3 linked regions of the Notamacropus eugenii genome follow. The protein of the gene in region 1 binds, or shares a complex with, the protein of each later gene. Links are inferred from orthologs where the notes say so. Each region holds a gene or a part of one and is shown on either strand. Other genes may lie near its edges. The genes, in order: GNAT1, UNC119 and RHO.

Evidence for each region.
Region 2: the proteins of GNAT1 (region 1) and UNC119 are in contact, whole or in part, in a crystal structure (PDB 3RBQ), measured with the Homo sapiens proteins. The link is inferred for Notamacropus eugenii from reciprocal best matches to the Homo sapiens genes GNAT1 and UNC119. Residues at the interface, in NP_000163.2 of Homo sapiens: Gly2, Ala3, Gly4, Ala5, Ser6, Ala7, Glu8; in NP_005139.1 of Homo sapiens: Asp87, Phe88, Val89, Arg90, Phe91, Ile105, Lys106, Lys107, Gly126, Arg127, Phe128, Val129, Tyr131, Phe137, Val147, Glu163, Leu172, Ser218, Tyr220, Asn230.
Region 3: the proteins of GNAT1 (region 1) and RHO are in contact, whole or in part, in a cryo-EM structure (PDB 6OYA), measured with the Bos taurus proteins. The link is inferred for Notamacropus eugenii from reciprocal best matches to the Homo sapiens genes GNAT1 and RHO. Residues at the interface, in NP_851365.1 of Bos taurus: Ala27, Arg28, Asp189, Leu190, Val312, Glu314, Tyr316, Asp333, Ala334, Asp337, Ile340, Lys341, Asn343, Leu344, Lys345, Asp346, Cys347, Gly348, Leu349, Phe350; in NP_001014890.1 of Bos taurus: Leu72, Arg135, Val138, Val139, Lys141, Ser144, Asn145, Phe146, Arg147, Val230, Ala233, Gln236, Gln237, Ser240, Thr242, Thr243, Lys245, Ala246, Glu249, Val250, Met253, Met257, Asn310, Lys311, Gln312.

What each region holds. Positions count from the first base shown.
Region 1 is NC_092872.1:5,370,742-5,377,951, forward strand, and holds the start of GNAT1 (guanine nucleotide-binding protein G(t) subunit alpha-1), read right to left. Parts: upstream 3,057-7,210; 5' UTR 3,027-3,056; coding exon 2,921-3,026; intron 1-2,920. UniProt on the Homo sapiens protein: Functions as a signal transducer for the rod photoreceptor RHO. Required for normal RHO-mediated light perception by the retina.
Region 2 is NC_092873.1:35,937,842-35,945,165, reverse strand, and holds the start of UNC119 (protein unc-119 homolog A), read left to right. Parts: upstream 1-4,258; 5' UTR 4,259-4,365; coding exon 4,366-4,540; intron 4,541-7,324. Other genes in the region: PIGS (GPI transamidase component PIG-S), read left to right, coding at 2,411-2,686. UniProt on the Homo sapiens protein: Involved in synaptic functions in photoreceptor cells, the signal transduction in immune cells as a Src family kinase activator, endosome recycling, the uptake of bacteria and endocytosis, protein trafficking in sensory neurons and as lipid-binding chaperone with specificity for a diverse subset of myristoylated proteins.
Region 3 is NC_092874.1:431,909,372-431,916,353, forward strand, and holds the start of RHO (rhodopsin), read right to left. Parts: upstream 3,064-6,982; coding exon 2,703-3,063; intron 202-2,702; coding exon 33-201; intron 1-32. UniProt on the Homo sapiens protein: Photoreceptor required for image-forming vision at low light intensity. Required for photoreceptor cell viability after birth.

The sequences.
Region 1 (7,210 bases):
CTGGGGTTTGGAGGGGCATGGGATGGGGAGGGTAATTAGGGCAGAGTGAATGTGAGCGGGGGTTTAGCCTCCTCTCCCTGAACCTCCCCTTTACCCCCCAGAGTATTTTCTGCTACAGGGAAAAAGCTGAGTTTCCACATTATTTACCTCAAGAGAGAGGCAACTAAGTGATTCAGTAGCTAGTGCTGGGCTTGGAGTCAGGATAAAGTGAGTTTGAATCTTAATTCAGACACATACTAGCTGTGTGACCCTGAGCAAGTCACTTAACCTCTGTTTGCCTCAGTTTCCTCATCTATAAATTTGGGGATAATAAAAACACCCACCTCCCAGGATTGCTGTGAGAATCAAATGAGATAATCCTTGCAAAGCACTTAGCACAGTTCTTGGCACGTAGTAAGAGCTACATAAATGCTAGCTATTATTATTCTTATAAAAATCACTTGGCAAACCTTAAAGATATTATTGTCATTATTAATCCAAAATTCCATTGTAGTAAGCAGGGCAATTTTGGCCAACCTCCCTTGAGTCCCACCTCTGGGTAGTCTGCCAGCAGAGCGCTTGGTTTCTCAGGGGCTATGCCAGAGGAAAGAAGAATCTCGCAATTTCCACCAGGGTGGAAGGGACCATCAGGTGATAGAGTCTGGGGTCCCAAGACCAACCCTGTTAAGAAGGGAGAGGCTGGCCGCTAAAGGACAAATTCTCTGGCCCTGGTGACCCATGAAACAATACAACAAACATGCTCTGGGAATGTGTGTGAGAGAGAGCCAGACCTTTGTAATTCAATACCCAACACATTTTAAATGTCCTTGGGGAGTTGGGCTAGCTGAAGAGTCCTGTAGACCACAGTGAAATGAAGATCTGAGGCTCTTGGGAGCTTAGAATTGGAAGGGACCCTGGGGTCATCTAGTCTAGTCTCCTTATGTTACTGAGCTCAAGGGAAGGGAAGTGACTGGCCCAAAGTCACATGAAGATCAGGGACGGGAACACGGCAGCTCTGACCCCAAACCCAATGCTCTTCCCACCCAAGTAGGTCAAATCCTTCTTTAAGGTCATGGCTGCCTCCGATGTATCTGTTTAGTAAATGGGTTTGTTTGTTGTTCAGTCCTGTCCAACTCTTTGTGACCCCATTTGGGTTTTCTTAGCAAAGATACTGGAGCAGTTTGACATTTCCTTCTCCAGCTCATTTTAAAGATAAGGAAACTGAGGCAAATGGGGTTAAGTGACTTGTCTAGGGTCACACAGCTAGTGAGTGTCTGAAGCCAGGTTTGAATTCAGTGAAAGGAAGAGAGATCTATCCACTGCACCACCCAGCTGCCCTGGATTATGTAGATGGAATTTGCTTAGAGTGAGCTGACTTTTATTCTTATTACAAAAGAACTCCCCCCAAGAGCTCTGGCTTTACAGAGTGCTACTCCAGTGGTGCATTTAACTGTGTGCGGAGCAGATTATTTGTTTACAGATACAGAAAACCAGGTACACCAGGGAATTGTCACGCTTTAAGAACGGGCTTTGTTACTTGCTGTGTGACCTCTAGCAGCTCAGTTAATCTCTCTGGGCCTCACGCACTAACCTCTTATGTAAAATTTGGAGTTGGATTGTAAAGTCTCTAAGATGCCTTTTGGCTCTGACACGCTGTGATTCTCAGGATTTCCTCATCTATACAATGGGAATGATAATCCCTGCCCTGAGACTTACCTTAGGCAGAAATGAGGCCCAAAGGAGTAACCAATCTGCACATGCTCCGTAAACTAAAACGTCCATACATGCATGGTACCTTGACATTATTGAGCTATAAACCTGATTTACATTGAGGTTCAAAGCCAGAAGCAACCTTACAATGACAGTACACATTGTCTCTAGGACCCGGGCTTTGGCTGCTGTGGGAACCTAGAGAGATGAGAGTTCTCTCTAAATTATTTGAGAGGTTAACTGACTTTCCCACAACACATAGCTGGGAAACGTGAGAGGTGAGATCTGAATCTCATTATTCCCAATGCCAGCCAGGTCTAGCACATTCACCACCAACTGCTGTCCCCTTCGTTTTCCACATACTAAGAACTTAAGCCATGTTTTTTAACTTGAATTAAGTTGAATAGAAGTGAAAGGCATCTTAGAACACAGAAAGTGGTTTTAGAGATGATCTAGGCAGTCCCTTGTGGTGATGAAGAAGAAAATAAGGTCATGGGGAAAGGGAGTTGTCCAGCATCCCACAGCGTATTAGTTATTGATTTGGTACCCCAACCCAGCTCTCCTTGATTTATAAACCTTCTTAGAAGCCTAGAGATGGCCTCAAGTAGAGCCCCTGGTCTTCCCAGCACCCCCAGAAAAAACATTCCACTTTTGGGAGAAGGGCCAGGGATGGTGGAGGCCACTATTAGATTAAGGGGCTACTTTTGCTTTCTCCCTCTATTCATTTGTTGCTTGAACATTTGGGGTGCCTGTTATATCCATAATCCAGTGACAGAAGCAGTCTAGACTGGCCAGATAGCTTAAATGGTAATTATTTTCTTGGCAAAATGTTCTCAGATAGGCTGAGGGTGGGAGTGGGGGTGATTATTTTTTTACAAAAACTTCTCTGGTTAGAAGCTACTATGCTTTTTTATAAAAGGGTTTTCTCTTTCTAGAAAGAGTCTTTCAGAACTCCCATTACAAGATTGAGAATGAGGCTCAGTTGTCACCAAGCTGTCTGGGTTTTCACCAATCCAAAGGAAGGGACCTCTGGAACCCCTGCCTAGCCTATCAGGAAGGGGACAGCATCCCCTCTATCCAGATTTCTTTTCATTGAAAATGTAGGATTTCCTTGCAATGGAATTCCTTGCAATTTCCTTCTTGTCATCTGGGAGGCCTGAAAGGACTTGCCCATTTTCCCACCTCCCCAGGTCTGTTGAAGATCCCTGCCCCAGGGCCCCCCTCAATTTACCCAGTAGAAGCAACTTCACTGTCCTGGCATCTTTCTCGGCATCTTCCTTTAGTTTCTTTTCCAATTCCCTTGAGTGTTTCTCCTCAGCGCTGGCTCCAGCCCCCATCTTGCTGGCCGGGGTAGGGTAAGAGGGTGGTCTAAGAGGCGGAAAATGTGGACCTAAATCTTCTGTGGAGATGGGACCTTCACACCTCGGGCTTAGCCCGGGGCCCCTGGCCCTCTTCCCTGGTACCTTCTTGGTCCCAGGAAGTTCGAGGACAGAGTGAGTGGGGTCCTTCCATATCTCCCTCCCGCTGGGGACTGCTTAGCAGGATTTAGGGGCAAAGGGGCTGCCTAGGAACCAATCAGGGCCAAGGACAGGTGAATCCGGCTCAGGAGAGCCCCTGTCCCCCTCCTTCCCCAGACATAATCAGGCAGTGGCCCTGTCCCCAATCCCTTACAAGCTGACTCTGTGCTTTCCCCCTTACCTCCAATCTGGGGGCCAGGGAGTTAAAGCATCTTCCTTCTCAGTCCTGGAGAGAGAAGAAGCTTCCCCCACTGACATAGGGATTGTCTTTTCTAGGAGTCAAGCATGAGCCCTTAGCACAGTTCTTTGTACACAGTAAGCGTATAATAAATGCTTTTTAAATTCATTTGTTAGAAGAAGCCAGAAATAACCTTGAACCTGGAGGTTAGCTCCGATCCCCTCCCTGGACCACCCCCAGAGTTCTCCATGGAACCTTGCAGAGACCCTACTCCTCCCCATCAACCACAAAACTGGGACTCAGGAGGGGGACCTGAGGAGTCTGTCCCCTACCCTACATCTTGCCCTCCCCAAAGTATTGGCAGACAGAGCCTTCCCCATCTCTTCAAGGTGATCATGGGACATGTGCTTGGACACCTTGCTCTTAGACTCCTTCCTGGGGGGGTGATTGAACCTCAGGACACCAGATCCTGGGTGTAGGGACAGGAGGTCCTGTGACAGAATGACCATGAACCAGAGTGCTGTGCCTGTGTGCACATGACTGTGTGTGACAGCATCTGTAATGTCATTGTATGTCTACATGTAACTATGTGTGTCTAGATTTGAATCTGCAAGTATGTGTGTCTGTGTACATTTATGTGATCCATTAGGTCTAGTTGGGTGGAAAGAGGGAACTGGTATTTAAAAGCACCTACTGTGTTTTGTAAGTATTATCTCGTTTATCCTCAGAACAACCCTGGGAGCTGGGTGCTACGACCTCCTTTTTTAAATTGAAGATACAGTCATTTGTCCAGGTCACATGGCTAGCAAGTATCTGAGACCTGATGTGAGCTCATATCTTCTTCATTTTCTCAGGACTGCAAAAATATTTTTTATTTTGAATATGAAAATGAGCAACAAACATACATTTTAGTACAGATGAACAAGAAAGAAGATTATATAAGAAAGTGTGAACTGTTCTATACACTAAAAAAGAAAAACACATGTCACATGTATGTAATACATATATAGATACATTTTATATACATCTATACCTATATATCTATATATATCTCCATGCCTTCTCATTCCGTGCAACTTTTATCCATATTGTTCCCAGAATATCAAGGACATATATATATATGCATGCATGTATGTATGTAGACACGCATATATACATGTATACATGTTATATATAAATATAATAAATAAATAATCTAAAAAAATGTGTGTGTCTACATTCATGACATTCCAAAAGTCTTCATGCAGTTCTAAGCTATAAAACCTTACAGAAGAAAACAAGCTGAACCGTTGCAGAGTGAAATGAGAAGCACAGTCTGGAGAATGGTTTACAGGACGACTGCAGTAATAATGCAAAAGAGGTCAGCTTGGGAAGAATTCAGAATGCCAACGAGCTCATATCCTCCTGACTCCAGGGCTGGCATTTGATGCACTGCCCCACCTAGCTGACCTTAGAGGTCATCTATTCCAACCCCCTTATTTTATAGAGGCCCAGAAACTGAGGCCCAGAAAGAGGAAGGTCACTTAGCAAATTAGTGGCAGAACCACTAATGGACTCCCAACCTAGGGCCCTTTCACTATACCAAGGATAAACTCAACCAACATTTTCTGAGCACCTCCTGTGTGGGGTCCTTGATCTAGGCACTGCAGAGGAATACAGACATAGATTAGACTCACGACCTATCTTTAGGGAACTGGAGTCAGTGGGAGGAGGCAGAGCAGGCACAGACCTGAGTCCCACTCCCAGGGAAACCACACTGGACCTGGAGCAGGCATGGGAAGAACAGATCCAAACCCCATCTCCAGGGAGTTCCTAGTCTGGAGGAGAAAAAAGATCACACACCCCAAAACACTTCCATTGGTAGCTCCATGATCCTCCAGGCTCTTCTCATTCTGTGCAACTTTCATCCATATTGTCCCCAGAATATCAGGAATCCACCCAATAAGTGGGAGGCTTCCTCTGGTTCTTTTAATATCTTAGGGGCTTAGCATTTAGACAGTCCATCTGGCATCTCTCGATCTCAATGCGTGTCTTTTCCCCAAAATACAAGTCCTTGGTAATGTCTTTCCTGTTACTTCTCCATTTCATTTTTTTCCCAACACAGCCAACATTTGACATATACCTACTTTGTGCAGAACACCATGTTAGGTGCAGAGGGAGATAGAAAGTTTAGTTCCAATATGAGCCCTACCCCCATTAAGCTTATGGTTTAATAGCAGGATGTGACTTGCACACAAGTTCAATTCTTTGATGTATGTGACCTGATCAATGTGAGTATTCCCACCAATGAGGCATGCCCTCTCATCCTGGGTAACTCTTCTCTGTGTCCTCCCACTGATTCTCTAAAGGGGGTCTAAACGAATGGGATGGGGACCGTCTAGTTCTTTTGACATTGCATGAATATCAATGGAGTTGTCCATTGGTTCATGACCAGATCACCCTCTTTCCCGGTTACCTATCTGTCTAGTGACATTCTCTGGCAAAATTCTTAGCAATAAACAACTCTCTGACATTATAGTATGGCCAGGTGTGTATAGCACTCTGTATATACACAGCAAGATTTTTCCATTGTCCTTTGGTGCATTGATCACTTGGGTTCTCTCCAGATTAAGGCATCCCAGGATCTTTTGGAGGCCATAAAACATGACAATTTTGGTAGTGGTAAACAGGAGGTCATTGAAAGATCCGACATTTTCCTAAATGGAATCTTCTCCCATCTTCTTCAGCTCAAGATGAGACCATAGGCTCATAGGCTTCACAACTCGAGTCCAATCCCCTAGTTTTACAAAGGAGAGAATGGAAGTGACTGATCTAAGGTCACATTGGAAATAATTGGCAAAGCTGGGATTCTAATGTGAGTCCTCTGACTACGTAAATCCGTGTACTCTTGTCACGACACCAAGCTGATTTTCTTTTAGTCCTGATTCCGTCACGGACATTAACATGAGGTGTGACCTTGAACAAGATTCTTCTGCCCTCTCTGACTCAGTTTCCCCATCTGTAAAATGAGAAGCTTGCCCTCCAGTCCTAACTCTTCGGCTGGGTTAATTTCCTCTCATGGCTCACTTGGCCTTGCCATCTTGCTGAGGAGTCTACGTGGTCACTAGAGGGCACCAAGTGCTCAGAGACAGAGCCCTCTCCGAGGCTCACTACAGTCCAGACTGAGTCAGGCTAGCCTCAATTTACCCTAAATGCACTTTTACCTTTAAAAAGTTGGCCATAAACTGAAATTTATGAAAATCAAATCTTGCCTTCTTCAGATATTCATTGGAGAGATGCCATAGCTTTCTTATTCTTCTCTATTTTCCCTCATATTTCTTAGAGGACTTTCTCTTCCTTTGTCCCATTGGCTTTTCCAAATAGCCAAGCACTTTATAATTAATTATAAAAACATAAATAATTATAATTTATAATTATAATTAAGGAATCTCAGACTCTGAGGGGTTCATAGGATCATAAATCTACAGCTAGAAAAGACATGAGACCATCTAACCCAACCCTCTCATTTTGCAAATGAGGAAACTAAGTCTCAGTGAAAAGTTATTTATCCAAAGTCACAGGTACCATATAGAAGGATTGGGACTCCTATCTGGGTCTTTTGGCTTTCGATCTTGGGTTCTTTCCATTATTTTCTACTAGCTAGCACTTTTAGGGTGAAAGAGAGGGCTTCCTGACTCTGTCCTGATGCTACTGTCCCTTCCAGCCCCTGCCCCACCTTCTCTCAGGAATTGGGAATAAGTTCAGATGGCACCACTCAGGCAGGCAATGTCAGGCTGACTGACCAGAGCTTCGCCATGGCCCATTCCTCTGAGGGCACTTGAGCTCG
Region 2 (7,324 bases), on another chromosome or scaffold:
TGCAGGAGCAGGGTGGCCCCTGAGAGGGGCAAGGAAAGCAGATGGATGGGAGACAGGTGAAGGGAACAGAACCTGCAGGACCATATCAGGGGGATGGAGTTTATGAAAGGACGGCAGCACCTTGGACAGAGTGTGGGGGAACATCCTGGAGAACATCAGTTCAGGGCCAGAGATGAGGGGAGGAGCTTATTAGTACTGGGTTTATAATTTGGAAGTCATTATGTAGGGTTGATAATTGAAGCCATGTGAGCTGAGGAGATTGCCAGCAACCCTTGAATGACACAAGAAAAGAGGGTCCAGGACAAAGCCTTAAGAGATGCCCATGATTAGTGTGTGGGAGCTGGCTTAAAAGCTGGCAGAGAATTCTCAGGAGAGGACCATGTCCCAGGGAGGGGAGGAGTATTCAGAAGGAAAGGAAGGGTGGGCAAAGGGTGCAGAAGCCTAGGAGGTAGGGGCAGAAGAAGTACCATGGAACTTAGTGGTTCAGGCTTGTCAGTAACCTTGGGGAGAACAGCTTGGGTTGAGTAGAGGGGTTGGGAGGAAGGGGGTGAAAGGAGACCACTCTTTCTAGCATCTTAGTACATTGAAAGGGAAAGGAGAGAGAGAAGGTAATAGTTCAAGGGGATGACGGGTCTAGTGGAGATTTTTTTATGAATGGGAGTGGACCAGATAGAAAGTCAGAGACTGAGACAGGAGGGAAGAGGAGGCTCAGAGGTATAGATGGAGCCTTGGCAAAGGAAAGGACCACTGCTTTCTCGGAGATTGAGTCAGAAGAGACTACATGAATGTGCAGGAGTTTTGAGGTGTGTAGTAGGAGGGGTGGAGCTCATATAGCCCTCTGTGAGCATATATATTAATTTATTTTATCCTCATGATAACTGTGGGAGGTTGGTGCTTTTCCATCCCCATTTTAAATGTCAAAATAGGCAGTCGGGTGAAGTGATTTCCCCATGGTCACAGTTAATAGGTGTCTGAAGTTCAGTGCTCTGTGCACCATGGCACCACCTAGCTGTCATGGGGAAGAGGAGGGAGTTCAGGAGGGAGGAGAGGGAAGGTTTGGAACTGCTTTGTGATCGAATCAAGCTGGAAGAATCAGACTAGTGGCACTGGGCTGGAAGGCCCAGGTGAGATGAACATTCACTTGGGTGCTTTGTCTGCCAATGTTCAGCAACACTAATGTCAGGGCATGGAAAGCAGATGGACGTGGGCCTGGCCATTGACTGGTTGAGGATGTTTCCAGCCAAGCTGGCATCTCTAGGGGAAGACTTTAAGGGGAGAGAAAGGAGGCCCAGGCACAGGGGATGGATTTGGAGGACAGATGAAGAGACGGAGGAGGATTGGAGCAGGTGGAGATGGAAGGATGGGGCATTATCTTCTGGAATTGGAGTTGGCACCATTATGGGTGATGGTGCAATTTAAAGTATGAGCACCCCTCTGAGCAGCAGAATTGAAATGACGGTGAATGTAGGGGGTTAAGGTTGGTTCCTAAACCCTCCTTGGATTCCTTTGTCAGATCTTCAGCCAACCCCCATGCACTAATTATGGGCATCTCAAGTCTTTGTCCTGGGCTCTCTTCTCTCTGGTGTGTCATTTAATCTCTCCCTGCACTGGAGAACCCTCGATGCTTGAGGGAACATCAGCATGTATATTAAAGTCCCCAAGTATGGGGTGCAGGTCTTGGGGTGAAGATGATGACTGAACGAGGATTGAATCCCTTGGGAAAGGACAGAGTATATAGCCTGGAGACAGGAGTGTTAATAGCAACAAGAATTTGGTCCAAGTGATCTAGAAGGATTGAATGAAGCTGAAAGGGGAATGATGTGGAGGGAGGGTCTGGAAGTGGTCATGAGAAACATGGAATAAGTGGGATCTTTCTGGGTGTGTGTGTGTGTCTGTTTGTGTCTCTGTGTGTCTGTCTGTGTCTGTGTGTGTGACACTGGATGGGGCCAGGGGTTTCCTGAGTGGCAGGATGGAGGGAACTTATGGGCTAAGGTTGGTAGGGATGAGAGTCGGGGAAAGACTTGACTTAGCAGAGGGCATCTGACTCAACAGATTGAGAATCCCAAGGTGGAAGTTATTCATCTGTAGGATGGGGAAGGGACCCATTCAGGTGGCACCTCCAGCCTCCTGAGTCCTGTGATGATTATGCAGCCTCTGCATGGTGTTGTGAAGGGCATTGGTAGCCCCCCAGGGAATCCTGGTGATACCTGGAGGGATTCAGAGTAGCCCATGGGATCACCCTGTATTTTTGCCCTTCCCCTTCCTGGGTTAGGTGAGGGTGTTGGATGTCCTTTTAAGTGAATTCCCAGAGTGACCCAGGACGTCAGTGGCATGCAGACACTAAACTGCTGTCTCTCCCCTCCCCTGGCCTAGCTTAGGCCCTTCTGCTGATCAGTGTCTTCCTGCCCAGGTGTACCGGGCAGTGGACGCCTTCCACGAGGCGGCAGTGGCGCTGTCTGAAGGGAACCTGAAGCCTGCTCTCCGAGCCAGCCAAGAGGCGGTGACTTCCTCTGAGAAGGCCTTCTTTGACCCTTCCCTTCTCCACCTCCTCTACTTTCCTGATGACCAGAAGTTCGCCATCTACATCCCCCTCTTCCTGCCCATGGCGGTGCCCATTTTTCTCTCCATGATCAAGATTATTGTGGAGAACCAAAAAGTCAGGAAGGATATTGAGAAGGTGGACTGAGTGTGTGAGGGGGCAGAGTGCTCCCTCAGGAAAGGAGGGGCAAGTTGGAGAGCAGATGAATCTCTGCTCTTGGGAGTGGCCTGGCCCCATTCTGGACAACCTCACTCTTCTCTGTCCTTACTTGCATGTCCTTATGTTCAGAGGCCAGGCCTTTGGGTGGGTGGGAGAGTGGGTGGGCAAAGGGAAGGGCCTCCAAGAAGTGCTCTGCCCAGGACCTCTTTCATTCAATTCCCTCATAAGGGATCAGCCAACTTGGTGGGTTGGGAGAGTAAAGGGAAAGAAAGAGAGGAAACTGAAAAGGAAATAAAAGTCTTAGGAGTCTTCTGGCCCTCCATGAATTGCCCATGTTTTATTCACTTCTTGGTTTAAACTGAGGCTCTTAGGGTACGGAATGGTGGCACACTGCTACTGGGCCAATGATTCACGTGTCTCAGCAAACTTGGACAGAGAAAGACTCAGGGTGGAGGAAACCACCCCAAGTGTATGGAATGGGAGACTCCTCATCATTGCCTTGCTCCAGGCAAAAAAGCACCAACATTTGCCGGTGTTCCCTTAGAAGTGATGGCTGAACCCCTGTTCTATGAAATCACTCCCCCTTCTCAGCCTCCTTATGGATGGCTTAGGCATCACTAGCTGCAGGCCTGGAATCACTTGGCCTTGCCCAGGTTGGGGCTCCTTTTGCCCCCTTGGGTGGGGGAAAGCCGTAGATATCCCCTTAGGAGAGGTTTGCAACAGATTGCCAGTCCTTTTCTCTGGCCTTCCCCTTGCCCTCTGCTGTCTGGCACAGCAGGTGGGCCTGAGCCTCAGCCTCCTGGACTGAAGAAGGGAGATTGGCCTCTACAGCTCTGGCCTTCGTAATTTCCCTTCCCCTGCTCCCAGAACTGGCACTGCCGAAGCAAAATGCCATCTGGCCTTTGGGTGCCCTGTTCCCTCCCCCATCCACTTCAGTTGGTTGAACTGGGCCCTCGAAAATCCAGCTTTGCCTCCCCCTACATCTCTTCAGTGTCTCCCCTTAGTCTTTTTTCTGGAGTGGGGCACGGGCAGCCTTGGTTCCGAGACCTTAAGCCTGACTTCCTGGGGGTGGTCCGGTAGGGACACAGGATGAGAGGCGCCCCTTGGGGCCTTAGAGGCCGGTTGGGATGGGATTTCAGAGATCTCTTTGTTCCCCTTTAGGGAGGGACCCTGCTCAGAATGGTCCTCACCCTTCTCCCACGCACGCCCAGGCCCTGGTGCCAGCTCTGAACGTTATTTTGAGCCATCTGCTTTCCCAAGTGGACTGTCCTTTCCCCTCCCACTGAGGCTGGCACTGGGGGAGAGGGTGTTCCCTGCGCGTTCGGGGTGAAGCGGCGAGGTGGGGGGAGGGGGACTCGGAGATAAGTCTGGGGGTGGGGAGAAGGGACGAGCGCAGGGCATGCGAAGGGAGAGGCGCCGAGGGAGGAAGGCTGGGGATGTAGGTCCAGGGGCGCGCAGCGAGGCGGGCCTTGGGGTGGAGCAGAGAGCAGGTACCTGGGGCGGGGCGGGGCCAGGAGCCGCGGGGGGAGGGTGGGGGGCTGGGGAAGTAGAGAGGCCAGGCTGGGCCGGACAGACCCGGGCAGATCGCGCTGCCTCCCCTTCCCCGCTGTGCGGGCTCCGGACGGCCGCGGCGGTGCGAGGGGCAGCCGGGGGCCGGGAGCGGGGCCATGAAGGTGAAGAGAGACGGCAGCGGGGCCGGGGCCGCGGCTGGGTCGGACCCCGGGCCAGGGGCCACGGGCAGCCAGGACGACGAGGCGGGATCGGAGCCGGAGCCCCTGGCGCTGCGGAGGAAGGCGCTGATCGGGCCCGAAGATGTGTTGGGGCTCCAGCGCATCACGTGCGGTGAGGGAGGCGTGGGGGGCTCCGGGGCGTGGGGGGCGGCTGGGGAGGAGGGCTGCGTCCCCAGGGAGGCTCCTGGACCATGCACTCTGCGCGCACCTCCCCGGCCCCAGCCCCATCATCTCCACCCCATCCGTGGGCTCTAGCCGCGCCCCTCCATCCTCTTCTCCGCTCCCTGCGCCCCACCCATTCTCTCCACCTCAGACCCTGTCCTACCTTCTCTTCTCCATCCTCCCTCCTGGGAGCTGCCTTTTGCTCACTATGGGCTTGGCCCCTGCCCCCGTTTCCACTTAGACTGAACGGGGCAAGGCAGTGAGGGCAGTGGTCTTTCCTTTCCTCCTGTACCCTCTTTGCTATGGGGTGAATTAGCTGCGTTGCCCAGCAAGGTTCTAGATCAGACCTAGACTTTCAAGGAGGGCCCAGTACTTGCTGAGTGGACCCTCACCACGTCTGGGCATTAGGATTGGGGGGAGGGGAGGCACTTTGGGGTAAAATACCAGTTCGTGCGGGGGAGACCTGGGCTGGCAGGACCCTCCAGGTACACGCCCCTCCTCCCAGCCCGGGAGCAGTCTCTGATCTACTTGTTAGGGATTGAGGTCAATGAGGTGACCCTGAACACTAATCTCTCTGTCTTAAGCCAGTGGCCCAATACCCCCCCAGTCCAAGAGAGCACCTCAGGATAGCCTTTTTATGGCAACAGAGGGGCTACTGTATGCCCAAGTATTCCCTGTCATCTTCTAGTCCCTAGACAAGCATTTGGGGGGTGTTTGCACCTGACTTTGAAGCTGTCTCTGGAGACTCCAGGCTAGGGGCAGGTCTACCTGTAACCCCCTGGTTGCTGCCACCGGGCATCTGTTGAGTTGGCTGACTGTTACCATCAGGGAATTCTGGGTCCTGGAGCTAGGTATCACAGAATGCTCCTGAAATGATGATCTTGAGGCCTCAGTTTCTCCTCCTCCAGGATCCTGATATCTGGAAAAAGAAATGAGACAGGGAGTATGTCCATAATCAAAAGAGAGTGCCTACTGTATACAGGGATGCCTAGCTATGTAAAGCAATCTCATCTCTCAAGGAGCTCCCAGCCGGGCTGATGAGACAGCTCACACCCATTAAACGTTACATAATGGTTGGTACAGGGTATGTCACTAAGCAGTCTCTGCTAAGGGCCAAAAAGAGGGCTCAGATGAAGTCACAAGGCAGAGAGCCTGTGGGAAAGGGTGAGACAGGATGGGACACCTCTGTTTTCCCACCATCCAGGGTGGAGGGGAAAGGTCTTTCACTACAGCCTGAGAAGCTAGGTAGGAGCAAGGCTTGGCCCTGGGCCCCTTTGCAAGGGTCCAAGGCGTGGAACCCAGGTGGAACCCTGTGGAACCCTGGCCAGTCTAGACCTCTTTGGCTTAGGTAAGGAGGGTGAGTGGGGTAGGGTCTAGTATGTGATGTGGCTTGGGCCACACAGTGTCCTACTAGAGGTGGGCTTCCCCAAGGATTCTTCTCTTTGCTTTCGAGACCAATCTGGCCTGTTCTTACCCTAAGCTGGAGTAGACTCCTTCCTCCTTTATCTCCCTGAACTTCTTTCTCAATCAGCCACTTACCCTGGAGTTTGGGGCCTAACACAGAAGGAAGGACCTGCCTAGGCTGGACTGTTCCCCTGGGACACTGGGCATTCTGACCCAGACTGAAAAGAAACAGGAAAATGTGTATATGGTGCTGGATGTGGTTAGACCAGGGAGAGAGATCCATCAGTCTGTCTGCAGGCATTTATTAATCACCTTTATGTGTCAGGCACTTCCCTAAGCACTGGGGATACAAAGAAAGGCCCTGCCCTCAAGGAGCCCTTATCTAATGGAAAGGGCTTAAGGAAAGGGTTTCTGCTTAAGTTGTGATAGGCAGAAGGCAGGTCAGCTCTAAGGAGGAATTTCCCTGTGCAGAAGACTTGGAGGATGCTTGAAACAGCTACTGTTGAGGAGTGGGCTCATGGAGCCTCGAGGTCTCCCATCTTGTCTTGCATTCCTTGCCTTTCTCCTGGACTTGTCTGGTTTGACTCCAGCCTCTGGCCAGCCTCCTCAGCCGAGGATGGGGCACCAGGACCTAGCTCATCCTCTAGGCCACTCATTCATTCAACTTGTACTGAATTCCTCCTGCATTCCAGGTGCCATAGTGAGCCATGGGACTACAAAGACAGAAACCAAACAGGAAGTCCTTCTCTGGGTCTGATCTCAGTCCCTCCTGACTCACATTTTATTTTCTGTGCTGATAGCGAAAGTCGATTTCATAGGATCATAGGATTTAAAACTAACCTGTGAGACATTAGGAATGGGTTTCTCCAAGCCCCTCCTTTTACAGATGAGGCCACTGTGGTCCAGAGAAATTAAGGGACTGGTCCAAAGTCACTCATGTTGTAAGTGGAAGAGCTAACTCAGGTCAGCAAAATAACCCTTCTCTCTTTCAAGAAGACCTTATTCTTGTCTTAGTCTAGCTGACTCACCTCAGTCTTATCTAAAAAAAAAAAACCCAAAATACACAAAACCAAAAAACCCCAAAGCCAAACCAGCCAGTGGAAGGAACCCTGCTTTTGTCCTCAGCCCTCCTCTCCTTTTCAGTCAGCCCATTCATTTATCCCTCCCAAACTTCCTTCTTCCCTTCAGTTCTGAGACCCCCTAACCCTGATCCCCAGGGTCCCATCTGGAGAATGAGCAGTTAACCAGTGGGGCTCTGCTCCTGTCCTTTACCCTTGTTACCCCCACACCTCCCCCTTCTCCCAATCTCCCAGAGATTCATAAGATCCTC
Region 3 (6,982 bases), on another chromosome or scaffold:
CTACATTCCACTAACCTCTACATTCCACTAACCTGGACCAGCCGAGGAGGGGTGGAGTAGAACAAGCCAGAGCCATGACCCAAGTGAAGGCGACCCCCATGATGGCATGGTTCTCCCCAAACCTGAAGTTGCTCATTGGCTTGCAGACCACCACATATCTCTCAATGGCCAAAACCACCAAGGACCACAGAGCTATTTCACCTGAAAGATACAATAGAAATGTTTCCAGCTTTAGAGGACCCAGTAGAAAAGCAGGGAGGATGAAAGAAAGGACAAAGAGAGGGAGAGGAAGGAAGGTTGGAGTTCAAGACCCAAATAAATCCGGACATTCTCTTCAGCTCCCTCATAATATTATGCACGATCAGCTCAGTACAAAATTGGGCAAGAGGCAAAATTTCTTTTTCTGCCTTTCATACCCCCACCCCCATTCAGCACCATTTATATCCCAAGTTCTAAAAACTTTCCTGCTGCCCTTGGCTCCAACCCCTTAGCTTGGAAGACATCTGATAAGGTTGCTCTCTGGGAGGTATTAGGGACTTAATTAGATCCTTGCTTAAGGATATTTGCATCTTTAAAGAAGACCCTGGGAAAGAAAGGGTAATGTTTAACCCAAGGGAACAGTGGAATTTCAGGGTCAGGGATCTTTTCTGATCACACCTCAGATAGCATGTGATAACTAACCATTCAGAGACCCTCTTGTATCTCTTCCACCTTCTGGATGCTCCATCACTAACTAAGAGGTAGAAATGGTCTGTTATTCTATATAGAGAAGGCAAGCTGGAAGAAACTGAGACTGTCCCTTCAGAGGAACTTCCCCAGGGATCTCAGCTGTACCCTTCTGTGGCACTCATCCACCCACACCCATATTCCTCTATTGATCTTCTGCCCAGAAGTAGCCCAGGTCTAGAGCTCAGGGGAGCACAGCAGATTCCTACCCATTAGAACTGTTCAAAAATGGAATGAGCTACCTCAAGGGTTGATGAGTTTCCCAACTTTGAAAGTCTTCAAGGAGAAGCTGGAAGACCACTTGTCAGAAATATTTATAGAAGGGAATCTTTTAGGGTATGGGTCAGATGAGAGAGTCAATAAAGTCCCTTTCAATTTCAGATTCTTTGATTCTGTGATTCTCTCTTTGTCTAACAGGCATAATCACAAAATCCTTTCTGAATGCAAAACTCTGGAGTATGCCACACACAGAGATGAGAAAAGACTGCATCCCTGATCTCAGAGAGCTAATAACCCATTGCGGGATGTATGAAAACACAAGCAGACCAAGCAGCAGGGTGTAGACAACTGGATTTGTACTCAGAGGACCTGAATTTTAATTGCAGCTCTTCTCCTCTCTAGATGAGTGCCTTGGACAAGTCTCTCTGACCTTCACTTGCCTCCTTTGTAAAATGAGAAGGTTAAACTTCATAATCATCCAGATACAAATCCTATAATCCCATAATCTATGGAAAACACCTGAAGCACACACTTACAGGGTAGTAACTCCTGTGTGTACCTAAAAGGGCACTGGACCCAAGTTCCACTAACCTTGGATCTAGCCCTGCCACTGGGCATCCTTGGGCAAGTCTCTGGGTAGGGATGGATGTCCTGGAGCCAGCTCCAACCAGCTAATTAGAGCCAATGGCTAAATTTTCAATGTGACCATTTACATCTCAAAAATCTATAAACCAGGGCTTGATCTGTTTGTGTGTGTGCGTGTCTAAACTTAAAAAAATGATGCAGGAAAATGTTAATAATTCAGAGAACTGGTTGTTAAATATTTATCAGCACACCCTTGTCCTGAGACCTTAGTTTCTCTCACCTGTAAACACAACGAGTTGGAATAGATGATCCCAAAATTCCCTTCCAGCCCTAAGCTGGAATCTCTTAAGGTCCCTTTCAGCGTTAAATCTTTGAAATTGTGAAATAGCTCATGCTTCAAGCTTTCCTGGCAAAATGTTGTGAGTGGAAGGGGGATACATTAGCACTGGTTAGAGCTATGTCTATGTCAGATACCTTTACTGTTCTTTCTTCTCTCCAAATCATTCCCCTAAAGTATTTCATTGCTCTGAAAGAGCTCTCAAATACTCCCAGGTCCCTTTCCCATCTTGGAACTGACATGTGTTTGGGGAGAGGGTGGTAGCAACTAAAAAGAGCACTGGATTTCAAGTCAAAGGACCTAAGTTCAAATGCTGGCTTTACCCCTTGCTACCTGCATAACCTCAGACAAATTTCTTCCCCTCTCCTGTTCACAGCTGCCTCACCCGTAATATGACAGGGTTGGTCGAAATGACCTGTGCAACTATAAATCTTTTTTTAAATATTTCTTCCTTTTATTGATCTTTTTAAAAATATTTGTTTTTGATATATCCCTCCTCATTCTTCTATCTACTGAACCATCTCTTGTAACAACAAAGAAAGGAAAACAAGGCTTTCCTTTGAAAAGAAAGAGGAAAAAAAGCAGTTTGGAAATATTAACCAACACCATGACTGTATTCAACAAATTCATGCATTGTTCTACACCCATAATTCCCCACCTCTGCATTTAAGAGAAGGAGGCCTAGCTCTAAGCCTAGAATCTTCAATTCTGCCAGTATCCCCTATTTGACCAACCTCACACACTCAGCCCTAGTCCCGGAGATCTTCTCCTCCCTCTCCAACGATGGATAGACAGGAAGGGGATCTCTTCATCATTTTCCTAGGGAACCACTCACCTCCTGTGGTGGCGAAGAATCCTTCCAGGTTGCAGCCAGTGGGTCCAAAGACAAAGTAGCCGTGCAGGGAGGTATAAAGGGTGGTTGTGAAACCACCAAAAACCATGAAGAGATCAGCAACTGCCAAGTTCAGCAGGATATAGTTCAAGGGCGTTCTCAGTTTCTTGTGCTGAATAGTTACATAGAGGGTGAGGAAGTTGATGGGGAAACCCAGGACAATCAACATGAACATGTAAGCCGCCAGGCAGGAGAACTGCCATGGTTCGGCCAGATAGTACTGAGGCTCCTCAAAAGGGCTCCGCACCACACCAGTCTTATTGGAAAAAGGGACGTAAAAGTTGGGTCCCTCTGTGCCATTCATGGCTGTAGCGCTGCTCTCTCTGCCCTGGGCCTAAAGGGGACTGGCCACTGACAAGGACCTTCCTCCTCTCCTTCCCAGAGTGGGACAAGAGGCTAGATCAGCCACATTAGAAGGAACTGGGAGCTGTGGCTTGAGGTCCTTATAAAGTGACCCCCTCTGGGTAAGCCCTCCTTCTATGGAGTCAGCACCCAGAAGATTCAGGGCATAATTAATCATAATAATCCAGCTAGGTTGGCAAGCACTAATTGGCTTCCCTGGAAGGCACCAAGGTGACTCTTGTTAACTACAGAGACAGGATCTCTTGGAGTGGGAAAGTTTAGGCCTGAGACCCCCCAAGGAAGGGGTCCTGAGGAGTTGAGTGGATCTCATTAATAAGTAGCTCTGGGCCAAGGGTGTCCCATCAAGAAAGGAGAGCTAAAATCATGTAGTGCCTTGGCCAGGGAGCAGCTGTGTGATGCCTGAAAGAAACTAGGCTCAATTAAAAGAACACAAAAATGTTCCTCTCCCCTCGCCCTTGCAGTGTGACTGACTCTTATTCCCCTTTTATTTCCTGGGCAAGGCTGGAATGACCATTTATGGATCCCAAAAGACTGCATTAATTTGCTCAACTATTTTCTGAATGAAAGTGGCCTCTTAAAATGGACAGAAGGGAACAGAAGACCAATGAGACAGGGATGAGACGAGGTCTGGGTGAATGCGAAGCCCATCCTCATTTTGCAAAAGAAGAAGGAGATTTTGTCCACCCCGTCAGACGACTGTTTGGGAGGAGTGACCAAAACTGTTGCCATAGAAGGGAAAGAGGCCTGGATTAGAGAAGGTCCCAGAGCCTGGCTCTAAGAGAACACTCTGTGGACTCAGCAGCGCTCCAGCCTATCTGGGCCTCAGTATCCTTATCTGTAAAATGGAGAGAATACCTACTATCCTGATTGCCTCTCAGGCTTGTGGAGATGCTCCTCATTTGTGAAATGCACTTCCTTTGTGGAAAATGCTTCAAAAAGTACAAACAGCAGCTAACTTGGAGAAATTTCTTCAAGGTCTGGATCTACTTGGACATTTCCTACTTGTCCAATTACAGTGTTGGAGAGTTGCGTGAGAAACCAAGCAACTTACCTATTGAATGGCCCAGGGACCCTACTTGAACCCAGACCTTCCATCCTCCAAAGTCAGTTTTCTATCCTTTCCACCATGCTGCCTGCCACTCCAGAGAGAAAAGGCCGTGTTCCCTAAGCAAATAAATTCAGCTGCGCTTACTCCACCATTCAAGGCACAGTACCAGAAGCAGGATAATACATTGGCCAGAATGTTGTACTTCTGCTCAGGAAGATGGAGGTTCAAATCCCACTGCCAATGTTGACTCCTTCTAGCCTCAGTTTCCCCGCCTATAAAACAGATACAATAATACCTATGGTACAGAAACCACCCAATGGGGTTTTTGTGACGTTTAAAGGAGATCAAGTAATGAAAGCACTTTGCAAACCTGAAAGCACTATATGTCTATTTATTATTATTAATTATTAATGCTTCTCAAACATTTATCAGCTTTCTAGGATACTATAGTTATTTAGAGATAGGATACATCCACTCTCCTAGAATGTGGGCTTCTAGAGGACTTTTAGGGCAGCCAATCAGGCAGGGGCTGAGCAGCCCCTTCAATTTCCAGTTCTTTGTCACTGCAAACAGAGCTGATGTAAATATTTTTGTACATGTACATCCTCCCCCTCCCCTTTTCTTGTTGATGCCACCTAGTAGTGGCATCACTGAGTCAAAGGCAATGGCGTGCTAATGAATGTTTAACAACCGGCTTTCAAGATGGGGGGGATATATGAACAACATATGTTTAAGTGAATTATTAATATTTTCTCCTTTCTTAAGTCTAGAAAAAAACAATAAATGAAGGTATGATTTCTAACATATAAATGCTCACATTGAACATTTAACAATCAGCTCTTCTGCTCTTGGAGCTAGCTCCAGCACAGCCCTGGAAAGTAGATGCACAGTTTAATACTCTGGGGGCATATTTTCAAATTGCTTTCCAGAGTGGATGGACTAGTTCAGAGCTCCACCCACAGTGAACGAATAGACTTATTTTCCCACAGCCCCTCCAGTATTTCATACAAACTGACTCTAACTTACCTTTCCAGTCTTATTGCGCATTATTCCCCTCCAGCCCCTTATAGTTCAACCATGATGACCGTTTTGCTCCTATATACCACATCCACTGTAGGACTTTGGGTCAGTGTTCTTTGATGTCTAGAAAGCACTCACTTCACCTGCCTCTTAACGTTCCTGCTTTCCTTCAAGACTCATCTCAAATTTTCCATGAGATGCTTCCTAATTCTCCCCAGCTGCTAGGGCCTTCCTCTTCCACCCCCAGGTTATCTTGTACCTGCTTTCTTTGTGTGATACATACATACATACACACACATGTGTACAATACCTATATGTATATACATGCATACACATATGTGTTGACTGCATGTGTACATGTAGCTGTAGATGTGTGCACATATGCATATACATGTGTATTTATATGTGCCTGTGTGTGTGTGTTTTGTCTCCCCTGTTAGAGGATAAGGACTTTCATTTTTGTCTTTATAATTCCAGCATTGAGCACAGCTCTTAGCATATAATAGATACTTTTAGAAGTCTTGTTGGTTGATTGATTACATAAATGTTTGCTGCATGAGTGAATATAAAATGTTATTAATTCATCTAAGAAATACTGATTACCTAATATATTTAAGGTACTGTACCAGGTGTGGAGGGGGAGAAGATGAGAGAAGTATGTGTGTGGGGAGGAGGATACACACATATACGCACACACATACATACATATATATACATACACACACATATAGCATATAGCAAAATCCCTGTCCTGAAACAGCTTGCAGGCTAAAACGAGGAGACAAGGCAAGCATACATAAACATAAAAATAACAATAGAAGAAATATCACGAGGAAATTTTTAGACAAAAGTTTCCATGTGGGCAAGGTACATGTGGCCTGGGGTTTTAGGAAAGCTTTTGTGGAGGAGGTGAGATTTGGGCTGAGCCTTGAAGATTGGGAAGGATCCAGTTGGAGAAGGGGAAGAAAGTTTGGTGAGTGACTTGGCAGGGAAGTGGAACAAGGCAGCATGAGCAGAGGACCAGGGTGGAATTGTCATGCATGGTTAGGAACAGTAAATTTTCCAGTCAGGTTGGAGCATTGAGTCTCATTGGCGAGTGTTTAAGGAAAATCTAAGACACTAAGCCAGAGTGTGGAGGACCTTGAATGTCCCCCTGAGAAGGATGGGCTTTATCCTGTGAGCAGTGGGGAGTCACAAAAATTCAAAGTGTTCTTGTCTTCATTATTTTCACATCTTTGTTGTTGGTTACCCTCAACCTGGCTCATCTGCCAAGATGATCTGTGTGGTTGCTGTGTCTGCTACAGTTTCTTGGAACCACAGGTAAGAGATGGGTGACAGATGGGCACCCAAGGTGTATAAGCAGCTCTGAAAAGGGCTTGGCAAACCCTCACACCAGAGGTGGTAGTCTGCCTCAAAGCCATCAGTGAGTTAGAGATGTCTACCCCAAGCAAACAAAGACTTCCCCACATAGAATGGGCAGATGAGAACATTTGTTCCAAGGGCCATGAAGTTGGCTAAAGCAGGCACCATGGAGCGCCTAGAGTTTGGTCAGACATCAAAGATGCCAAAGTCACCTACTGCATCCTGGTCATCTTGACATCTTTGTCTTGCCACTGGACTTCACTAACTCTGGAAGAGTGAGGCTAATGACTTTGCACAACTGCCTCTCTTTAATCCAATGATGTCATTGGTCCTTTTCAGAAATGAAGAACAAACAGCAACCCTTTTGTATCTTTATGGAACTGGTCTCTGAGAAACTCATGAGACCTGACAGATTCCATCTTAAACGAGG